Linked DNA regions of Elephas maximus indicus. The main gene of each other region encodes a partner of the protein of the gene in region 3 in a complex. Links are inferred from orthologs where the notes say so. Each region holds a gene or a part of one and is shown on either strand. Other genes may lie near its edges.

Region 1 (7,978 bases), on a different chromosome or scaffold from region 3:
ACTTGTACAAAGTAAAGTCAAGTCATGAAAGCCCTATAGACACATCCAAACTCCCTGAGGGACTGAACTGCTGGGCTGAGAGCTGTGGGGACCATGGTCTTGGGGAACATCTAGCTCAGTTGGCATAACATAGTTTATAAAGAAGATGTTCTACACTCTACTTTGGTGAGTAGCATCTGGGGTCTTAAAAGCCTATGAGTGCCCATCTAAGATACTCCACTGGTCTTACCCCTTCAGGAGCAATGGAGAATGAAGAAAACTAAGGACACAAGGGAAAGATTAGTCCAAATGACTAATGGACCACAACTACCACAGCCTCCACCAGACTGAATCCAGTACAACTAGATGTACCTGGCTACCACCACTGACTACCCTGACAGGGATCAAAATAGAGGGTCCCAGACAGAGCTGGAGAATAATGTGGAACAAAATCCTAACTCACAAAAAAAACACCAGACTTACTGGCCTGACAGAGACTGGAGAAACCCCAAGAGTATGGCCCCCAGACATCCTTTGAAACTCAATAATGAAATCACTCCTGAGGTTCACCCCTCATCCAAAGATTAGGCAGGCCTACAAAACAAAATGAGACTAAAAGGGCACAACAGCCCAGGGACAAGGATGAGAAGGCTGAGGACTAGAGGGGACAGGAAAACTGGTAATAGGGAACCCAAGGTCAAGAAGGGAGAGTGCTGACACGTCGTGGGGTTGTTAACCAATGGCATAAAACACTATGTGTACTAAATGCTTAATGAGAAGCTAGTTTGTTCTGTAAACCTTCATCTAAAGTATAATAGATAAATAACAACAACAACAAAACTATATGGGATCAAATTGGCAAAAACAACTGGAAAGATTAGATAGGAAACTTAGGAGGCAGCGAGTTTATATTAACGGAGGAGGAATAATTCAGAAAAGAAGGATGACAATGGTTGCACAACTTGAGAAATAGAATCAAAGTCATGGAATTGTACATGTAGAAATTGTTGAACTGTTGTAGGTTCTGCTGTGTATATTCTCAACAACTACGAAAATAAATAATTAAAAATTTAAAAAGCTAAAACTATCATTGTACTTACCTACGGATTTGTAAAAAGCTACTATAGGTTAACTTTTACTTGTACTTCACCTCCAGAAAGTGTTCCCTAACTTCCCTATCCTGGTTAGCTCCTTCGACATCCTGGGATGCCCCTATTCCAACACCTGTTCTGCTGTTTTGTGATCCGTCTGGCTTTGGCCTAGCCTATGAGCTTCATGTGGGCAGAGATTGTGTCTTTCATGTCTGTTTCCCAATACATGCTAAATATTTTTAAAAAGCGGGAGGAAGGTGGCACAAATATCTAGACCATTCAATGTTCTGCCGAAAACCAGTAACAACAACAAAACAAAATCAAAAGTAAAAAAACTCTTGGCAAAAGACATAAAAATATAACCAAATCATCAGAAGGGAAAACTCATATTGCTAAAAGTATACAAAGAAATGCTCAAACTAATAAGCAGCAGAAAAATGCAAATTAAGACAAAAATAAGACTTTCCTTTAACTTTTCACATTGGGAAGTGTAGAAAAATGGAAAGTAATGGGACTGTAGGGAAAAGAGCAGTCCGATGTACTCTGTAGAGCTTACGCTGGTATAGCCCTTCTGGAAAGCAAGATGACAGGGCTTGTCAACTCAAGTTGGCACATAAATTTTGACACAGGTTTCCACTCCTGGGTATATCTCCAAGGTAAATTCTTACATGAGTCCGCAGGGCACAGATGTCTGAGGATGTTCACCGCATTGTTATTTATGGTAACAAGGAGATGAAGGCATCCAGGTGTCCTTTCCTGGGAATAAATGGACATACTCTCTGGCTACAAAGCAATTAAATTAGAAATTAACAACGAAAAATGATCAAATCAAAACACTACAAAAAGAACTATCTACATTTAGGTGGCTTTTTCAACCCATGGTGTTAGAATGACTTCTGGAAAAAAACTGAAATAGATCCTGACTATCTGTTTCAAAATAAATTGCAGCTGAATCAAAGACTTAAACCATAAAATTAAAGCACTGACGAAAAAATGGGGAGAATTTTTAAAAATAATTTTTCAGTTGTGAAAATATTTCTAAGTATAACACAAAATCTGGAAGCCATTAAAGAAAAGATTGATAAATTTTCATAAATAATTACTAAAATATTTGGTTAAAAACTGCCCTAAACAAACTAAAGGAATAAATACCCTGCACACTGGGGGAAAAAGGCAATATATATGAGAGAAAGGGGGCTGATTTTCTTAAAATAGAGATCCTATAGGGTATAAGTTAATTAAAAAAAAAAAAAGCTGTGAGGAGGCTTTTATTTTATCGGTCCTGGGTTTTTAGAGTCACTGCATGAGCTCATGGGCTAGAAACTTTGTCAGGTTAATATTTTCAAAAGAACATTTACAGTTGTATTTTTCTAATCATAAAAAATAGTAAAGTTAACAGTCCTTAGAGAAAGCACAAGGAAGTTTGAAGAAGAAAATAAAAACTACTTACAAACTTACCCTTCATAAGTAATTCCTTTGATCACATTTTAAGGGTTTTCTTTCCCATCTTATTAACATATAATTTTATGTGTACATATATTCATATATAAACATACACAAACTTAAATATTTTGCCATATAATGCATATATATTATATATCTGTTAAGTGATAAATCTGTATAAATATATTTATATTATAAAATATATGTTTTAGAATACTTATATTTCATATATTTATATCCAAAAGTATTTATATATAAATATATATTTACATGATACGTAAACATTTATAACATATATCCATATAATTATATCATCATATAAACATAAAAATATTTTTTTCTTGTATCATTTTACTGCAAGTCTATGAAGAAATTGTTAGTATCACCTCCATTTTACAACTGATTCCCTACAGATAACTCCCATGATTTCCTCGTACCCACTCAAACGGATCACCTCCATGGCCCCAAGACCACCAGATTCCACCCTCGGCAGCCTAGAAAACTCTAGAATCAAAGGCCTTCCTCCCAAAAAGCCCAGCGATCTTACCAAAGAGGCAAATCCTGGGGCCCTCACTGTGGCAGAGGCTTCTTCAGGACTCTCTTCAGTAGGCCGTGTGTTGAAAACAAGAGTAAAACTCAAACTGAAGACCTGAAGGAAGGCACAGCCCAGCTACATTTCCTGGTTGATGAAACCTCCTGAGTCACAGAGACTACACCAGGAGGGCTGGCCCCTGAGCAGGCTTCTAGACCTGCAAGAGAGGCTGAGTGTGTAGTGGAGAGAGCACTGGGCAGGGAGCCTCGTTGTCTGAGCTGTGGCTCTAGCTCTGTGCTTTTGGATGGGTCATTTTGCCTTTGGGCCCTCATTTCCACATCCCAAAATGAGAGAGTTGGGCTGGGTGGTAACTAAGAACACTTTCTTTCCATGTTCAAGGAATTTACAGATTTTTATGTCTTCATCATGAAAACTTTATTCTTTCAATAAATATTTATTGAGCACCTTTGATCTGGGCCCTGGGGCTCTGACCCTGGTGAACAAAACACAGAAACCCTCTGCCCTCATGTCACAACTCAGATGAAATGTTTTCTTTGATGTTAAAATTAGAAAGAGGAAAAAAAAAAACTCACTTTTTGAAACCGCCTGTTGTCTTTCTCAAAACAGAATGTAAGCTTTCAGAGGGCAGGGACACATCTTATAGTTGCAAGGATAAAATGAGGTGTCTAAAAGTGCCTCTTCACCTGTAGAGGGCTAGATATAGAAAAAAAAAAAAAAAGATATAGACAACATCGTAATATCGATGTCCTCAGCTAGCACTTGATTTTTTCCAGTAAACTCTAAGTGAAAACATAGCAATACCATGAAAACCTGCTAGTTAGTGGCTAACTCCAAACCCCAGGAATTATATCCTGATTTTTCCTGATGCTGCCCCAGCATCCTGAGCAGCCTCCATCTAGGACAGAGACATGAAACAGCTTCTCTCTCAGAGCCATCAGAAGGAATCAACACAGTTGATACCCTGATTTGGACTTTTAGCCTCCAAAACTGTGAGACAATAGATTTCTGTTCTTATAAGTCACCCAGTTTGTGGTACTTTGTTACAGCAGCCCTAGGAAACTAACACAGAGTTTAATACCAGGAAGTGGGGTGGTGTTGCTACAAATACTAAAATGTGGAAATGGCTTTGAAATTAGGTAATATGTAGAAGCCGGAAGAGCCTTGAAGTACTTAATAGCAAAAGACTAGATTGCCTTGAAGAGACTGTTGGTAGAATTAGGAACATTAAAGGTGATCCCGGTGAGAGCTCAGAAAAAATTGGGGAGAGCTGTAGAGACATCCTCTATCATCTCCTTGCTGTTGTTGTTAGTTGCCATCAAGTTGATTCCAACTCATAGTGATACCATGTGTGCAGAGTAGAACTGCTCTGTAGGGTTTTCAAGGCTGTGACCTTTCGGAAACAGATCACCGGGCCTGTTTTCTGAGGCGTCGCTGGGTGGCTTTTAACTGCCAACTTTTCAGCTAGTAGTCAAAAACTTAAGCATTTGCATCACCCAGGGACTCCCCCTATCATCTTAGTGAATACAAATATCATCATGAACAGAATGTTACTAGAAATGTGGATATTAAATGTGTTTCTGATGAGGGCTTAAAAGGAAATGATGAACATGTTATTGGATGCTGGAGGAAAGGCAATCCTTATTCTAAAGTGGCAAACTACTTGACTGAATTATATTCAAATGTTTTGTGGAAAGCAGAGCTCAGAAGTGATGAGCTTGGATATTTAGCTGAGAAGATTCCTAAGCAAAATTTTGACAGCATGGCCTGGTTTCTTCTTCCTGTTTATAGTAAAATGAAAGTGAAAGAGATAAATCAAGGATTGAACTATACAAAAAGGAACAAAAACTTGAAGAGCTGGAAAATTCTCAGCCTGTCCATATTGTAAAAATTGAGAGAATGTGCTCTGGAGAGAAGAAGAGTATGGCTGGACAACTGTTTGCTAAAGACATTAGGAATGTCACTTAATATTAGGATCCAGGGAGGTGGCCCAAGATGGCAGAATACTCAAGAAGCTTCCTGTGGTCTCTCTTACAATAAAGGCTTGGAAAAAGCAAGTGAATTGATTATATATGACAATCTAGGAGCCCTGATCATCAAAGACAAAGTTGAGGAATCAAACTGAGCGGCAGGGGGGAGAGAGAGAGACCGTTCAGAAGTAGCAAAGTGGCAGTAGTGAGGTAGCTGGCACCCTACAGGCCTGTTGGCCAGAGCACTTGAGCTGAGGCTAGCAGCACTCTGGACGCATTTCCCCATGTCGGGAGAGACCAGGCAGTGACAGTCAGTACAAGCCTCCAGAGCCAGAGGGAAATGACGCTGGACCTGCAAAAGTGCAGCATCAACCTACCCAGAGGGATCAAAATAACCTCTTCCCCTCCAGGATTTTCACAGCAGAGAACTGCTATTTTCCTCTCACCCAGCCCCCTCTCCGCTCTGCTCAGTCACCAGTCTAGCAGTATTTAACAAATGCCATGCCGCCTAAGCTGGAACTAAGGCCTCCCAAAGCCCAAATCAGTCTTCCAGCTTTAGGAAAAAAAAAAAATTATATATATATATTAGGATTCAATCAGCCTTCTTAATAGAAATGTCACCGGCTTAGACTGAAGGGGCTAAAGACAGGATGAAAAGAAGTAAAACTGTCCAACTCCTGGAATGCTACAGGCAGGAAATGGGCTGATGGTGCTGCTTGGCTGCAAACATTTGTTGCCCTTCAAGAAAAGGAAAAGATGATCCCCAGAGCAATTCAGAGGCCAGCAGGGCTGCCAGCACAGGTTTGGAGGGCTGGGCTGCCACCTTCCTGGTTACAGAGGGCAGAGCCGCCTGTTCAGTTCCAGGGAGATGGGCATCAGAGCAGAAAGACTTTTGCCTCATTACTGCTCCAATTCAGAACCAAAGCCACTGAATGAATGGCGGGTGAAAGACCAAGAATGAAGCAGGCAGTCATGAAAGAGTTATCAAGGGTTATTAACCATCCCGTAGTAGTTATTTTTCAGAAAAATCTACTGTTGCTACATTTTTGTTACAACTTTTACAGCACTTCACCATGATTGGTCTGATCCCCAGGTTTCTTGTCTTCTCCTGGCAGGAGGCCTAGGCACAGGTGCACTGACTCTGAATCTACCCACTATTTGACCTTCCTGGGTGACAGCAGTGAGCCATCGCCATTTTTTTAGGGCCGTGTGCAGTATTTTTAGAGCCCTGCACAAAAACCCATTCACTAAAATTATGCGTACTGTGAATGCATCGAAAGACTGAAGATCCTCCCCTCACTGTTCATGTACGTATGTTACTCCCTATAAAAGGAGCAAATCTGCCCTGGTTCAGGGAGCTGGCAGCCTTAGGTCACGAGACCCTGCTTGTCTCCCAGTTTGCAAACTGTGACTAAACCTTTCTATTCTTCCAACCCTGTGTCTGGCTGACTTCAATTCACTAGTTGGCCTGACAAGAACCTATTAGATGACGGCTTCAAGAAGAGGAAACAATCCCTTTCAACTGGAAGCCCTCTAATTATGAGTCATCCCTAGCTGCAGGTGACATGAAAGTTTTATATCTGGACTAGATTTTTAATAACTGAATATGAGCCACAACTATCTAAATAATATCTTTCTTACAACCAAAAGAGAGTCTAAAGCTATAGGATCTACCCTATGTCTAACCAGGGCCATCACTGAAGACTTGTACCATCACTGAAGATAGGGATGGGAGAAAAATGAAAGCCCTTCCTGTTTGTGGCTGGGTGAGTTCAGCCCAATCAATAAGTACTAGCTGTTTTTTTAATTTTTGTTTTGCACCTCTTAGTCCACCACCTTGGTCTACTGGAATCCTGCCCCACACCATTCCAATCTCCACCCACATTCCCAGGCTCTGAGCTGCACTCCAATCTCATGGTCTTCAGACCTCTCCTCAAGTCTTTATCTCTAATTCTTACTTCCCCTCCAGATAAACTAACTTTCCTTCTTGTCCCTCTGACATATCCCTCAAGTATAAGTGTCATTTACAGATTCTCTAACGCACATGGTCTCCTCTAATGTCTCCTTTGATTTGTTTTCTCCAATTCATTCCCTTTATCCACGTGATCTCATTTGGTCAGTGGAACCCCTACAAAATTATGGTTTGGAGTTGTTTTTCTCAGGCAAGTGGGAGTCTCCCTGCAGGAGGGCTGTGTTCAAACAGGAGATGCCTTGACCCTGGTTCTCCTCACAGACCGCAGCTTCCACCTGGAGCTCCCCTGTGGGGTCTGCCTGGTTGGTGCCCCTCCTTTCTCTCTAATACCTCAGTACCTTCACAAAGCCTTCCCTACCAAATAGAGGCAGTCACAGAAAAAAACTGGGAGGACGTACCTAACAGCAAAATGCTAACAGTGATAATCTTTAGATGGTTGGTTTATAGTCAATTTTTTTTTAATTATCTATATGTTAATATTTAACATCCTGCATTTATGTTCTAATGTATCCCAGATAGCTTGAAATCTAAATGTATTTGTGATCTGCAATCTAAATATATTTGTTTGCTAAACATATCTGTAATTGACATTTTCTTATCTATATTTTCTAATTTTTTTCAGTTACCATATATTCTTTTTGTAATAAAAAGTTTTAATTTAAAAGCATTTTATGTAAATATAGATTTTCATCACCCAGTTTCTGGTATCCTCTCTAAAGCCTATAGGCAGGTGGTCTTCATATTTTATTTAGGTTCATGAGCCCCCCCTAGATTTTTTGTTTGTTCACGGCATGATGGTTAATTTTGAAATCATGAAATTTTGAGGATATTCTTAATATACAGCACCCAAACCAGCATATATGATGCTTGTACTCTTTGACACAAAATCAGAAACCAAAGTCTTCAAACGTTTCTTCATTTTTGATTTGTAATCTGTCCCCTGCTGAAACAACACTTCACAGTTTCAATACAG
Region 2 (7,565 bases), on a different chromosome or scaffold from region 3:
AGTTCACTAGGCCTTTCCTCCGCTGAGCTGGTCAGTGGGTTTGAACCACCAACCTTTAGGCTAGGAGTCGAGTGCAAACCATCTGCGCCACCCAGGGGCCTCCTCATGTGGTAGGCACTACTATGATCCCCTTTTTCAGAAGGAGAAACTGAGGCTCAGAAAAGTTAGTGACTTGCTCAAGGCACAGAGGTAAGAAGTGGAGGCACCAGGACCAGAATCCCAGGTCTGTCCAGCTCCAGCGGACACAGAGGAACAATGGGGACACCATGAAGGACACTGGACAGCAGCCAGGACCCACTTCCCTGGGGACCACAGCAGAAAGCCCACACCTTGAACATACCTGCTTTGCTGGGTCTTTGTGCCGAGCTTGGCTTCACTGATGGCCGCCACCATGTGACCCTGGGCAGCCCTCCTCCCCCGCTACCTCTGCGTCTCTGACCTTTGCCCCCGACCCAGGACAAGTAATTATCCACGTTCAGTGCCTTCAGACCTTTTTGTCTCCCCGCCGTGAATTCACAGAGATAATCTGAAAATAAAATCCAGGCTGCCTGGTAGAAAGGAGACTTGGGTTTTGCCAACACAATGTGCAGTAAAAATATCTCTTTTAAAAGGCGGAGAGAGAAATTTAAAGACTCGAGATCAGTAACATGTAATTATCATCTGGTTTGGGAGGAGAGTTCTAGTAGTTTCCAGAAAAACACAAGCCGTGGAAAGAAAGCGTGCTTTCCAAGGCAAAAAGATTTGGGCTCCAGCAGGCAGGGCGCCATCTTGGAGCTGCGGCGACCTTTGAAGTCCTTTCCCAAGGAGCGGGAGTAGGTCCCCACACCTGCCTGCCTTCCTCTTCCCCTTCGCCTTCCACACTGGACTGGAGACTCTTGAGAGTTGAGAAGCTGCGCTTGAACTCAGCCTCCTGGAGCTCAGCACAGCACCTGCTCAATAGGGAGCTTCCAGCGAGCAGACGTGTAAAAGCATGGAGATGGCAGCCTGGCTCTGTACCTAGGGGACCATCACAGTGGCAGGAACAGCTAGGTGTCCACAACATCCGCTGTCCTTTAGTTTACAGTCATGTTGTTGTTGTTGCTGGGTGCCATCGAGTTGATTCCCACACATAGCAACCCTGTATGAGAGCGTAAAACTGCCCCCACAGGGTTTCCTAGGCTTTATGGAGCAGATCGCCAGGTCTTCTCTCCTGTGGAGCCAACGGTGGGTTCCAACCGCTAACCTTTTGGTTAGCAGCTGAACACTTACCATTGCACCAGCAGGGCTCCTTTTTATAGTAATAGAACTCCCAGTTTTATCTGGGAGTCCCTGGGTGGTGCAAACAGTTAATATACTCAGCTGCTAACCAAGAGGTTGGAGGTTCGAGTTCACCCAGAGGCACCTCGGAAGAAAGACCTGGTGATCTACTTCTGAAAAATCAGCCATTGAAAACCCTGTGGAGCACAATTCTACTCTGATAAACATGGGATTGTCACAAGCCATAAATGACTTGATGGCAACTAGTTTTTAATTTTACCTGGGCTCATGTGACCCAGAGTAAAAACCATCCCTTCAGATGCATGGGGCCATGAGACTAAGCTCTGGACAAGGAGATGTCAGCAAAAGGTAGATGCAACTTCCAAGAAGTGATCTTAAAGGAGACATACTTCCTCTCCTTCCCTTTCTTCCTTCCCACTGGCAGGAATGCAGATGTGATGGTTGGGGCTTGAGCAGCCACTCTAGAACATAAGGCAAGCCTGGGAGTGGAGGCCACAAGCTGCAGAGCAATGAGAAAGAAGGATCCTGGGACTTGACACCAGAGTGTGCCACACTGAACCTAGACCACCTCCCAGACGGTATGGGAGAAAGGAAGAAGCATCTGTATTGTGAACTTTGAGACAATCACTTATAGTCATTGTTACCTTGAACATCTTTTAAATCAAGAGGAGAGATACAAGATGATGGAAGTCTTTAAGTGTAAGGATCGCAGTGAGTGCCTGTGAGATGCTCACAGCAGATCCTGGGCTTCCCTTCCACATGTGTGGAGTGAGGAATCTAGCAGAAGGTGGAAACCACCACGTTAATGGTTTTCTCTCCTCTCTCCTTTTAAAAAACCTACTTATTTACTTCTTATTTTAAAATCTAATTATTTCTTTTTTTTCTCAGTGCCTGGAGTTATTTTGTACAGACACATCACGTCACATTTTCTAACTTATGCAAATATTGCGAGCACATACCACATGCCAGAAAGCAATGCTCTGTGCTAGTTATTCTCTCCATTTTATAGTTAGGGAAGCTGAGGCTCAGAGAGGTGGCCTCACACAGCTAGGGAGGCGCGGAGCTGCATTCCAACTCTGTGCTGGGAAGGAAGCAAGACAGAGCGGCTCATCTGGGGTGCTGGGCCTTCCCAGCTCCTAGAAGCAGCTCCAGGGGCAGTGGGGACAGGATGGGACCTTCCAAACACAGGCCAGATAACCGGTCAAGAAGGGCACCAGCCTCCCCCAGTGCAGCACAGCGGTCTTTCTAGAAGCACATCAGAGCCTCAGGATTAAGCTTTACGTCCCCTGGGGACCTAGAGGGTCAGGGACAAGCCCTGGGTCTCCACCCTGAAAGATCAGGAGCAGGCAGGGACCCGACCAAGGAGCCAGAGCAGAGCTGCCAGGGAGGAGGGAGAACCCAGGGGTGAGGCCTGGAGGCCAGAGGAGAGAAGATTCCCGAGGGCCAGTGGTCGCAGAGAAGCCGGTCCGATGAGGGCTGAGGATCCCTCGAGAGGTTTAGCTAGAGAACTGGGATCTTGACTCTATCAGATATAGAAAGAATGATGGATCAACACATGCGAGGACAGGAAGTCTGAAGAACGGAGGACGGACGGGGGCCAGGCGGGGGGCAGGATAGGGTGTCCTCACCTGAGGTGGTGGTCCTCTTTCCTAAATCAGAGGGTCCGGGAGCGACCGTGCCAGAGCCCAGGTTGGTGAGCCGGCGCCACCTGGTGGCCAGTCCTGGCACTGCGCCCTCTCCGCTGCCCGCTTTGCCTTTGGGGGCTGCACCCAAGACCCTCCCGAGGGCGCCTCTGTGACCTCCTGAGTACCCTAAACCACCTGCTCCTTTTCAGTTATACATGGAGGGGAACTAAATGTCGTGGTGGTTTGCTGTTTTTATAGACCTGGCCCACACTTGCTGACTCTCTACCTCGGCTGCTATGAGGTCGCCGTTCAGGTGCGGATTTAACGGTCTGGATGCAGCCAGACACCAGTGGTTTTTAAAGCTCCCTGAGCAGTTCTAACCTGCAGCCAGGACTGGGAATCGCTCAGATTAGGTGGGCACCTCCTGTCTGCTCCGCAAAGACACATTCAAGCGAACCTCAGGACTCCTCCATCCCAGTTGCTGTCCCTAAGCCCCTCCTTGCATAGAACTGCTGGGGGAAGGGGTCCCCCAAGTGCGCATGGACCTGCAAACCCTCCCAGCCCTCTGTGCTGAGACTCAGAGGAGAGCCCTGGGTCTCCTTGAGTCCAGAGATTTCTGGGGCTGAGCTCCTGACCTCTGGGCTGCCCTCAGTTTCCCCTTGTGTAGCCTGGAAGAGAATGGTCGTTCTGAACTGCTTTGGGGTCACCGGCCCCAAATTTGAAAATTTATCAAAGTCCTTTTACTAGAGAAATAGATGAGGTTATGATCGCAGACCGCGGGGAGGGGGAGGTTGGTCAGTGGGTTAACCCATCTAGTCTGATCGGGGCCCCATAAAGTGAATACTTTTTTTTCTTTTTTCTCTCTCTCTTTTTTATGGTGGTGAAAATACACAGAGTATAGCATCTACAAACACAACAACTTCCACATTTACAATTCAATGTGAGGCAGGTACTTGTATTAACTTCACTTTACAGGCAAGGAAACTGAGGCACAGAGAGGTTAAGTAACGTGCCCCAGGTCACACACCCAGTAGATGGTGGCGCTGGGTTTGAACCCAAGCATCCTGGCTCCAGGCTCCACCGAGTACCCCCTCCCCCAGATGTTAACCTCAGGGGATATTTGTGAAGTGACCACAGGAAGGTGTTTTCTAATCTGTTATGCTGACATTATTCAGCAGGTTCTAGCGTGAGGTTGGGAAGCTGATGTGGTCTGTGAGCTGAGAGTGGTTCACCCGAGACGTCTGGATTTTACAGACCAGGGAACACATGGCAGTAGCAGGTAAGGCTGCCTTTGCCTGTGCTGAGACCTTGCTGGCCCAGCCTCAGCTTCCCCTCCAAGGAAAGAAGACAATACCGGCCCAGGTAGAGGGGCACACAAGGCTGGGAGTGCCCAGTAGGTGCTCACTGAAAAGAGCTGTCACTTTGATAGGCACACGAACGTCTCCTCTGTGCTTTGGGGTTGGGCATGGTGCGGGAGCTCCCTGGGCTGTTGTGGTCATGCCAAGCCCATCCTCCCCACCCCGTCCCGCCTATCAATCTTCGGTTTCAATTTCGTTTCTTTCAAAATCCACAAGGAGAAGCTTCACTTTCTGTTTCTGTAGAAAATTCATCAGGTTTGGCTGGCAGGAAACCAGACAGGCTAGGCCTGTTTCCGAGATGTGAGCAGCTGACATCCGCCAGCTAGAATTGACTTCTCTTATGAGTGAAGAACCACAGGAAGCACCGGACTCACCCACGAAAGGACTCACCAGACCAAGAGCCCGGGGCCACCGTTCAGTATGGCCGAGACCCCTGCTGACCCAGGCGAAAAAGGTAGTTACTTCTTCCTTCCAAAGAAGCCTGGGGGTCAGGGTGGGATATGAGCTTCTCTTTCTGGCTCCTTTCCTTGGCCCAGATGACAGCGGTGATGACAACAGTATCCTAAACAACACCTGTAATAGGAAGAAGGAGAGTCTGTTTAGAGAGCTGACTATGTGCTAGACACCTCACAGCACACCTGCCTGCATCTTGGCAACACAGCCTGCAGCGGCGCTTTACAGATGACACAGCCAAAGGGACTCTCTTGGGGCTAGCACAGCTGGCGAGTGTGGGAGCTGGGCTTGGAAACTGTTCTTTATACTCATTTTGAGAGGCAAGGGCATTGCTTTGATAAGATGTGTATGTGAGTGTGTCCCCCCCTCCCCCGTTTCCTTCTTGCCTCAGATAACATTTTCCTCCTGGAAGAACCGCAAAGGCTAATGGTGCCTGAATCCTGGGCTCAGGCACTCACTAAGCCCCGTGGTCTGTGCCTGGAGGTGCTTCAAGTTCTTGTCTCGTTGAATCCTTACGACAATCATTGAAGTACCCACTGCCGTGGAGTCAATTCCGACTCATAGCGACCCGATAGGACAGAGTGGAACCGCTTCACTGAAGTAGGCACTGTTATTATTCCCATTTCACAGATGGGGAAAACTGAGGCACTGAGTGGTTACACAGCTAATAAGTGGCTGAACCCTGGGAAAGCACCCATTACAGGGTCTGAAGGAGAAGAGGGTGTGCTGGGGAGGGGGCCGGCAGAGTGTGGGGCCCCTGCAGGTACAGGCAAGGGCACTTGGTAAAGGCTTTTCTCACTTTTTTTCTCCTCTGGCTGATTTCCGTTCCATTACAACTGGTCGCTTACACTCGGTCCCTTTTACAACATCCGTTTTCAGGCATATCAGCTGGGCACACAGGAGCCTGAGCCAGCCAGCCCTAGGGCTCTGGTTTCACTGACTCTCAGGGTCCACCTCTCCTTTGGTGTCGGGGAAGTTAGGAGGAGACAAAGGGAGAGGTGAAGTGGAGCCAACCTCCTGAGCAGGCGTTGCGAGAACCAAAACTCCTCCAAACCAGCCAAAGAGCAGGTGTGCAGCCAGCTGGAGAGGTGTCACTTCCCACTGGGGGTGTCACTTTGCATGAAGGGGCAGCACTCCCAGGTCTGTACTTGCTCTTTCCCTGATCACAAGGGGAGCTCCATTTATCCCCTCCCCCACTGAGCCCTGCCCGAGGGAGCCAAGACACCTAAAGGAGCGTCCCATTAGGAAAGAAAAACCTAGATCGAAAGGGGTGGGCCACTGCCCCAGAAAGGGCCTACTGTGAGCCTCCCTTGGGGATTTTGGGGGTGAGGTACTTCCTGATGACAGGAAGGCCTCCACCCACTGTGGGCTCTCCCCAGCTGGTGGCTCCAGGGCGTGCCTGTACCACCTCTACCCAACTTAATCCTCTGGGTCTGGCTTTCTGCAGAGCAGCCAGTTTTGACGTTTGAGATCCTCCCCTGGGGAGGAGCAGGGGTGATGGGGTGGGCTGCCTAGGGCTCCTTAAAGTCAGGGCAGGAGAACTGAGGCCTTGTCAGCTGGTCCATGGTGAGTCACCCACACCCTGCCCTGGGTCAGCTGGGCAGACAACTGTCCTGGTAGAGACACACCCACTCAATCACCCACTTACCCACTTACTCACCCACCCACTCACTCACTCACCCACCCACCCACTCACTCACTCACTCACCCACTCACCCACTGACTCATCCACTCACTCACCAACCAGAACAACTGTCCTGGTAGAGACACACCTACTCACTTAGTCACCCACTTACCCACTTACTCACCCACTCACTCGCCCACCCACTCACTCACTCACCCACTCACTCACCCACCCACTCACCCACCCACTCACCCAGTGACTCATCCACTCACTCACCAACCAGGACAACTGTCCTGGTAGAGACACACCCACTCAGTCACCCACTTACTCACCAACCACTCACTCACACACTGACTGACCCACCCACCCACCCACTCACTCACCCACCCACCCACTCACTCACTCACCCACTCACCCACTGACTCATCCACTCACTCACCGACCAGAACAACTGTCCTGGTAGAGACACACCTACTCACTTAGTCACCCACTTACCCACTTACTCACCCACTCACTCACCCACCCACTCACTCACCCACTCACTCACCCACCCACTCACCCACCCACTCACCCACTGACTCATCCACTCACTCACCAACCAGGACAACTGTCCTGGTAGAGACACACCCACTCAGTCACCCACTTACTCACCAACCACTCACTCACACACTGACTGACCCACCCACCCACCCACTCACTCACTCACCCACCCACTCACCCACTCGTTCACTCACTCACTCACCTGCTCACTGCCATTTCGTGAGCACCTACTATGTGTCCAGCACTGTGCTAAGATGGAGGTGCCACAGGAAACAGGCCAGATGCCTCAGGGGATTACAGTAGGGGATCCTTGGGGACATTCTCAGGGGATCCACACACAAAGAGCACCCACCTGTGCTGAGCTTCCCAAGAAGACAGTGTCAGCGAGAGCTGGAGGTCCAGTCATTGGACAGGGAAGAGAGGGCTGAGTGTCCCTGGCCGAGGAACATGTAGAAAGACCCAGGGGCAAGTGGGGCTGACACCTGGAGGGAAGTCAGGGAGGTGGAGACCAGGACCTTGTAGGTGCAGAAGGATCCAGATTCATGCTCAGGCTGCTGAGATCTGAGAGAGACCCAGGAGTAGGGTCTCCTGGGCCTCAGGGGAAAGATTTATTTCTGAATGTCTATCAGGATTCTGGCTGAGATGGAGGTTAACCGTAGGGCTACTTCCTACTTCATAAGGCTCCAAGGAGGGGCGGCTTCCTTCTGC
Region 3 (7,540 bases):
ATAATACAGTAGTAATAATAATAATGTTTTGATGCGGGTCACAAAGTAGCGCCTGTTTGTTATTACAAACCACTGTATGTACCTCAAATTTTTAATATAATGGCTTTATATGATATTAAATATACACTTAATATAATATAAAATTCATAACTACATGTTGTACATAAGTTGATGTTCATAACCCAGGGGCTGCCTGTAGTCAATTTTGTAACCACTGAATATCTTAGGAAGACCTTGAGAGTAGTTTAATGAGGGATACCCAAGAGACACATAAACACTAACTGTAGGCATGCAAAGAACAGCATTATAAAGAATAGTTAATGACGGCACACTAGCTTGTGAAAACATGTTATGATAACCGATTTCAACTAATGATGTAACTGGGTCCATTTCAATGGAATCTGTTAGTGTTTCTGCACAATGGCTGCTATGCAAATGACTGTTAATTCAAAAATGGCAGTTAAATTTTTTTCCCACTGAAGTTAATAAGAAATTTCACAGATTGCTTCCCAATGCAGGGGCAAGTCTGAATACCAAAAGATTCATATTTACCTTTTAGTGGTCAATTTTTTCACCTAATTTATTTTTTCTTTATTTTTCAACTATGACCCTACATAACAAGCGTGTGACAGACAATGCTGGTTGCCTACCTATCTGCCATTGCGCCCCCTCTTCTTATTAACAGAAGCTGATTTTACTCAGGTATCCAACACAACCAAAAGGCTTCTCTTTAAGGTTTCTTTATTTTAATCTTCTCATGCTTAACCCAAGACAAACAGGAATTCTAAGGAAGAGCCAAATGATCAGTAAGAGACAGTAGGATTGAAAACTTTATATCAATTATCCCATCATGACCCAGTGAAATAAGTTCTTTACCATCATTCTTAATTTACAAATGAAAAAACTAAGTTAAGTGATTCACCCAGAATGGCCAATCAGGAATCAAACCTTTGTCCCTTCACTCCAATTTCTATCATCCATTCTCTAGTTTCTCTGGATCGCAAACAGTGACTTGTCTTTGGAAAAATCCAGATGCAGAGACCCAACCTGACAGCCTTGCTCACCTGTATGAGTCTGCTATAGTCAGAAACACAGGGAATGCACAGGCTAAATTCTAAAAACATGAAAATACATAGCTCAAAACTCAGCATTATACAAGTTAAAATAACCAGTTGCCACGAAGCTGACTCTGACTCATGGTGACCCCATGTATGTCAGAGTAGGACCGTGTTTTCAATTGCTGATTTTTCACAAGAAGATCAGACCTTTCTTCCGGGCAGCTCGGGGTGGACCTTCAACCTTTTGGTTAGAAGCCAAGCTCATTAACCACTCAGGTTAATATACATAGTCAATCACTTTTGCCAGAATAAAATATCCAACCAAAGCATGGGAAGCTAGATTTGTTTTTCAAATTCCCAGATTATATCAGCAGTGTTAACATGTCATGGATTAATAAACCCAAAATAGTAGCTCACCTAGTTTGGAAGTTGATAGTTTGCCAATTTTACTCAATACTCATTAACATTCAAATTCCTGGAAGTACAACAGATCCTGGGGCTCAACATAGTTTCAGAAAGAAGAAGAAAAAAAATTAATCATTACTGCTGTTGTTTTCAGGAAGAATAATGATGATACACTCCAAATCTCATTCTAGGCAAGCTGAATCCTCCCTTTTTTGTATAGAAGAGCCACAGTCTTCCACATTTTTAAACCAACCACAAGTCTCTCCGACTCACGCACCTCTACGCTGGTTACAAAAAGTCCACTGAGTACTAAGTTACTCAGTATTTCAAAGTTCACTCCTTGCCTTGGTGACTTCAGGAGTAAATCAGGAAGAATTAATAGTGATCTAAAGACCAAAAAAAAAAAATTTTTTTTTTTTTTTTAAGACCCAAGGCTTGCTCCAGCGTTCTTTGATTATAATAGCCCCGTGCTCTGCCCAATATAAACAAGAGCTCTGAACACAGAAGAGCCAAAGAAATCAACAGACCCCGGAGCCTTGTGATTCTGTCAAATGCTTAGGAGAGGATGATGCAGCGTGTACTTTTCCGAACGCTGACGAGATTTTGGAGCACTTCACAAAACCCAAAGCCACGACGACAGAAGATTCCTTCTAGGGTTCTCACACTCGCTCTCTTGTTGCTGTGGCTGTTGACCGCTCCTTTCCCATCTGCCAGCTCACGTCTAAGATAAAGAGAAATGCTGACGTCTTTGCAGCCTGTTGAGGCTCCCTGTGCGACAGGCCCTTTCCAAGGGTAAGTGAGCAGTCCCAGCCAAAGACACCTAAGGAACCCTGTTATGGCAAGAGCACGCGCTACTCTTAATGATCCTGCAATAACACCCTGCATCGCTACCAACACAGCACAAGTAACAACCACAGCGTCTGTTCGCAGTCCCATCGAGATGGTCGCCCCAGACCAGGTCGCGGCCCTGATCCGGGACTCGAGCCCACACCAACACTTCCTCCTCTGAGGAAGGGGCGCGCAGCCCTGGCCGGCCGCGGACCCCAGGGCGCGTCTCGCACACCCGCCTTCCGGGAACGCGCGCCCCGCCCGCGCCCGCACGCTGGATTCGCTTTCGTTTTCGCCACCAACTTCCTCCGGCCCGAGTGGGGAGAGTTAGGGGTCGCTGACGCGGCGGCCTCTCCAGAGGGCAGCAGGGAAGGGAGCCCAAACCCCCAAAAGGGGCCGCCCTGATATAGGGCTCGGGGGACGGGACCGGCCCGAGGAATGACCGCCGTTCACTCAGCGCCGCCCCGCTAGGCACGCTCACCGTGCTCGGCTCCTCGCGGGCCCCAAGGCCTGGCCTTGACCACTGCGCACGGGCGCCGCGGGCTGCGGGCCGCCGTCTTCGATTTGCGCTTCGCAGGGTAGCCAGGTCCAGAGGCCGCTCCGTGCGTGTCGAGTGTCGGCCGCGCCCAGGGGTACTCAGGCGGGAGGCGTGGACCACTTGCAGCTCCTACGCTGCTCCGCTTAGTTCTCCTCCTGATCCTTTTCCACCTCTGGCCTCTCCTTCCTCAGCAACTCAACTTCCTTCTCCTGATCTTCCTCCTCCTCCTCCTCCTGCTCCTCCTCCTTCTCCGGCCCCTCCTCCTGCTCCAGCTCCTCCTCTTCCTACTCCAGCTCCTCCTTCTCCACCTCCTCCCCTTGATCCTTCTCTTGCTTCTCCTTCACCTACTCCTTTTCTCACTCTTCCTCCTCCTCCTCCTGCATCTCCTTCACCTGTTCCTCCTTGTCCTCCTGCTTCTCCTCCTGGTCTTGGTCCTCCTGATCCTCCTCCTGCTCCTCATCCTCCTCCACCTGCTCCTCATCCTCCTCCTGCTCCTCATCCTCCTCCTCTCCTCCTGATCCTCCTCCTGCTCCTCATCCTCCTCTCCCTCCTCCTGATCCTCCTCCTGCTCCTCATCCTCCTCCCCCTCCTCCTGATCCTGCTCCTCATCCTCCTCCCCCTGCTCCTGGTCCTCCTTTTGCTGTTGGTCCTCCTCCTGCTCCTGATCCTCCTTCTGCTCCTGGTCTTCCTCCACCTGCTGTAGGCCTCCTCCTGCTCCTAGTCCTCCTCCTGCTCATGATCCTCCTCCTACTTATGGTCCTCCTTCTACTCATGATCCTCCTTGACCTTCTCCTCTTCCTTCTCCCCATTTTCTTCCTCCTGCTCCTGGTCATCCGACCTGCGCGGGAAGGAGGGAAGTGGACTCTGGCCCTACTAGCAGCCAGTGGGACAGGAGGAGATCTTGAGGGAGGAGGGGGGTGATACCCCTCATACATTCCCAAATGTCTTTTCACCACCACTCTGAGATTGTGCCCCCAGATTGAAAATCCCAGAGCACTGTCTCTCTTTACTTTTAGAGATCCCCTGTCAGCTAAAGGATGGCGATTTTAGTTCATGTTAAGGAGAGTTGAAGGGCCAAAGAAAAAGTTACCAACTCATAGAAGCCTCTGTGACATTGAAGAGGCGCTTGGCATAGCTGGAGCACTGGGTGGGTGGAGATGGTCACTGCCAGGTGCAATTTGAGTTCTAGAACCTCAGGCCAATTTTCTCACTGAACTGCCTTCATTTGTAAAGTGAGGCTAATAAAATCCACTCTGCAGGGCTGCCCGGGAATGAATCAGATATTTATTGTGCAGCCCTTTACAATGGCAATTTGAAGACTGAAGCAAAATGAGAAATATATGCTATAATGTTATCTTAAGGAGCAAGCTATAACATTGTATACACACCTTGATTAGGTGTGGTGAAAAGAGATAGGCATATGGAAAAAGATGGTAGGGGCATTATCCACTCAGCAACATTTCTGACCATCTGCTGTGTGCCAATTAGACGCTAGATACAGTAGTTTCTGGTGGTAGATACAAGTGATACAAAAAAGCACTCATTCATACAATAAGAATTTCATACATAAATATTTACTGAGCACCTGTTGTAGGCACTGGAGATTATCCTGTGAACAAATGAGACAAAAATCTCTACCGAGAACAAGATGGGACCCAGCTACCACCACCAACTGCTCTGACCCAGAAACTGCTCTGGCAGACGTCACAAAAGAGAATCCCAGAGAGATCGCAAGAAAAATGTAGAATACAATTCGAATTCACAAAAAAAGACCAGACTTGTTGGTCTGACAGACACTGGAGGAAACCCCACGAGTATGGCCCCTGGGCACTCTGCTAAATCAGAACAGAAACCACTCCCGAAGCCTACTTTTCAGATAAAGATTAGGCAGGCCTATAAAATAAAAATAACACATGTGAGGAACATGCTGCTTAGTTCAATCAAATATATGAGACCAAATGGGCGACTCCTGTCCAAAAGCAAGACTAGAAGTCAGGAAGGGACAGAAACTGGATGAATGGACACAGGGAACCCAGGGTGAAAAGGGGGAGTGTGCTGTCACATTGTGGAGGTTGCCACAAGTGTCACAAAACGATATGTGTATAAATTTTTGAATGAGAAATTAACTAGAGACGTAAACGTTCACCTAAAGCACAATAAAATCAAAAAGAGAAAAAAAAAAAAAACCCTACCCTCATGGAGCTTACTTTCTAGTGGGGAAGACAAAAAAGAACCACAATAAGTAAATTTTGTCACACGTTAGCAATGAGTGCTAAGGAAGAAAAGAGAGCACCAGAGCTGGATAGGAAGCATGCATGGAATTATGAGGGTGTGTCACAGAGTTAGACGGGGTGGCCAGGAAAGACCCCTGTGAGAAGGCAACGTTTGAGCAAAAATCTAGAAGGAAGCTGGGTAGGGAGCCGTGAGGATATCTTGGGGTCAAGCACATTGGGAAGAGACGGAGAACAGTAAGGGAAAAGCCTGTGAGGTGGGAGCACGGCACGTGGGTGCACAGCAAGGAGGTCCTTTTGAAATGAACAAGATGTAAAGTAGTGACAGAAGGTGAGGTCAGAAAGGTGGGATTGGCAGGGAGGGGCAGATCGTGTGAGACCCCATAGGCCATTGTAAGGAGTTTGCCTTTACTCTGAGTAAATTGAGGGTTTGGTGCAGAGGAGAAGCTTGACGTAAATTACCTTACAATAGAATCATTCTGGCTACTGAGTTGAAAATAGGTTGAAAGGGGCAAGAGCAAAGCAGGAAGACAAGTTAGGGGGCTATTGCAACAAGGCAGACAGGATGAGGACAGCTTGGGCTAGAGCGATAGCAATGGAGGTATAGAGAAGTCGTCAGATTTTTGATAAAATTTGCAGGTAGAGCTGACAGGATTTGCTTAGAGATCAGAAACAGGATGTGAGAAATGAAGAGTATTCAAGCATAACTGGAAGGTTTTTGTCCTGAGCAGATTGAGGTATAGAGTTGCTGTATATACAAAGATGGGAAAAATAGTGAGAAAGCAAGTTTGGGGCATGTTATGAATTGAGCTGTGTCTCCCCCAAAATAAGTGTGTGTATCCTAACGTAAGTGTTGTAATCCCGCTTGGGAATGGGTTTTCTTTGTTATGTTAATAAGACAGTATTAGTGTAGCTCGTGTCTTAAGTCAATCTCTTTTGAGATGTAAAAGAGATTAAACAAGCAAGCAAGAGGGCAGAGATGGGAGAAGAAAAAGGCCAAGCCACATGAAGATCACCTAGGAGCAGAAGCTCAAAAGAGAGAGGACCTTCCTCCAGAGTGTGAGCCGGCACCCTGAGTTTGGACCTCTAGTACCCTGAACTGTGAGAAAATAAATTTCTCTTTATTAAAGACACCCATTTGTGGTATTTCTGTTATAGTAGCACTAGATAACTAAGGCCAGGCAATATCAAGAGTTCCATTTGAACACGTTCATTTGAGACGCTTACAGACATCCAAGTGGAGATGTCGAGTAGGTAGGGAGGTATATGAGTATAGGGTTCAGGAAAGAAATCCAGGTTGGAAAGTCATCAGCATGCGGATGGTATTTAAAGCTATGAGGCAAGATAATCGAGGGAAGGAATATGGATAGAAAAGAGAAAAGGTCCGAGGAATGAACCCTGAGGTTCTCCAATGTTTAGAGGTTGACGAGATGAAGAGGAGCCACCAGAGAGGTAGGGAGGAAGCCAGGGCCGTGTGGGCTCCTGAAAAGTTAACAGTTGTGGCAGATGCTGCAAACGTGTCAAGTAAGATGTAGACTGAAGATCCATCATTGGATTTGGTAAGATGGAAGTTGTCAGTGACCAGGTTAATGTGAGGTTTAGTGGTATGGTGAGAGCAAAAGCATGTTTGGAGTAGGTTCAGTAAATGTTGGAGGAGAGGGGGAGACAGTTTAGAGACAGTGACTATAGTCAAATCTTTAAAGAAATTTTGCAGAAAAAGGAATGAGATTGATAAGGCAATAGATAGGTAGAGTCAAAAACGAGCAATACCCATATTTAGTCTAAGGCACTTTACAGCTCAATGGAGAGGCATCTTTCAATAAAAATGGAAATGTTATATAACAAGGGCTATGATAGAGGCAAGTACCAGATACTATAACAACCACAAAAAATATTGGTCTGACAACAATGAAATTAAACTAGATATCATCAGTAATGTCAAGATAACTAGAAAATCTTCCAATATTAAAAATTAAGCATAACAATTCTAAATAACCAATGGACCAAGAAAAAATTATATTAGAAAATATTTTGAACTGAAATGATAATTAAAAATATGTATGACGTATATATAAATAAATGTATGTATGACATATAGTATGTCATATGTATTTTTGTGGGATGCAGCCAGAGCAATGCTCAGAGGGATATTTCTGGCTTTAAGTTCATACATTAGGAAATAACAATGGTTGAAAATCAATGCTATTAGTTTTCTCAAAAAGGTGGAAAAGAGAACAGCAAATCAGGCTCAAAGAAAATGCAGTGAAGATCCAATAAAGATAAAAGCAGATATAATTGAAATAGAAAACAAACATACAATAGAGCAAATCGAGAAGAACAAAAGTAGATTCTTTGAAAAGGCTGAAACTGACACCCGCACCAAAATTAACCCAGTTTAAAAAAAAAAAAAGAGAGGGAGAGAGCACTGATATCAGGAATGAAAAAGAAGACATCAATACAGAATTTACAAACATTAAAAA

The links. The genes of interacting proteins can lie anywhere in the genome.
Region 1: RIPK1 (region 3) and caspase-8-like share a complex: the UniProt entries of both Homo sapiens proteins name them as parts of the AIM2 PANoptosome complex. The link is inferred for Elephas maximus indicus from reciprocal best matches to the Homo sapiens genes RIPK1 and CASP8.
Region 2: RIPK1 (region 3) and ZBP1 share a complex: the UniProt entries of both Homo sapiens proteins name them as parts of the AIM2 PANoptosome complex. The link is inferred for Elephas maximus indicus from reciprocal best matches to the Homo sapiens genes RIPK1 and ZBP1.

Annotation. Positions count from the first base shown.
Region 1 is NC_064824.1:100,030,159-100,038,136, reverse strand, and holds the start of caspase-8-like, read right to left. Parts: upstream 3,079-7,978; 5' UTR 3,061-3,078; intron 1-3,060. UniProt on the Homo sapiens protein: Thiol protease that plays a key role in programmed cell death by acting as a molecular switch for apoptosis, necroptosis and pyroptosis, and is required to prevent tissue damage during embryonic development and adulthood.
Region 2 is NC_064843.1:11,620,869-11,628,433, forward strand, and holds the start of ZBP1 (Z-DNA-binding protein 1), read left to right. Parts: upstream 1-4,487; 5' UTR 4,488-4,660; coding exon 4,661-4,694; intron 4,695-5,084; exon of another isoform or gene 5,085-5,293; intron 5,294-5,572; exon of another isoform or gene 5,573-5,761; intron 5,762-7,565.
Region 3 is NC_064819.1:43,619,895-43,627,434, reverse strand, and holds the start of RIPK1 (receptor-interacting serine/threonine-protein kinase 1), read right to left. Parts: upstream 3,054-7,540; 5' UTR 2,773-3,053; intron 2,763-2,772; exon of another isoform or gene 1,991-2,762; intron 1,552-1,990; exon of another isoform or gene 1,476-1,551; intron 785-1,475; exon of another isoform or gene 651-784; intron 1-650. UniProt on the Homo sapiens protein: Serine-threonine kinase which is a key regulator of TNF-mediated apoptosis, necroptosis and inflammatory pathways.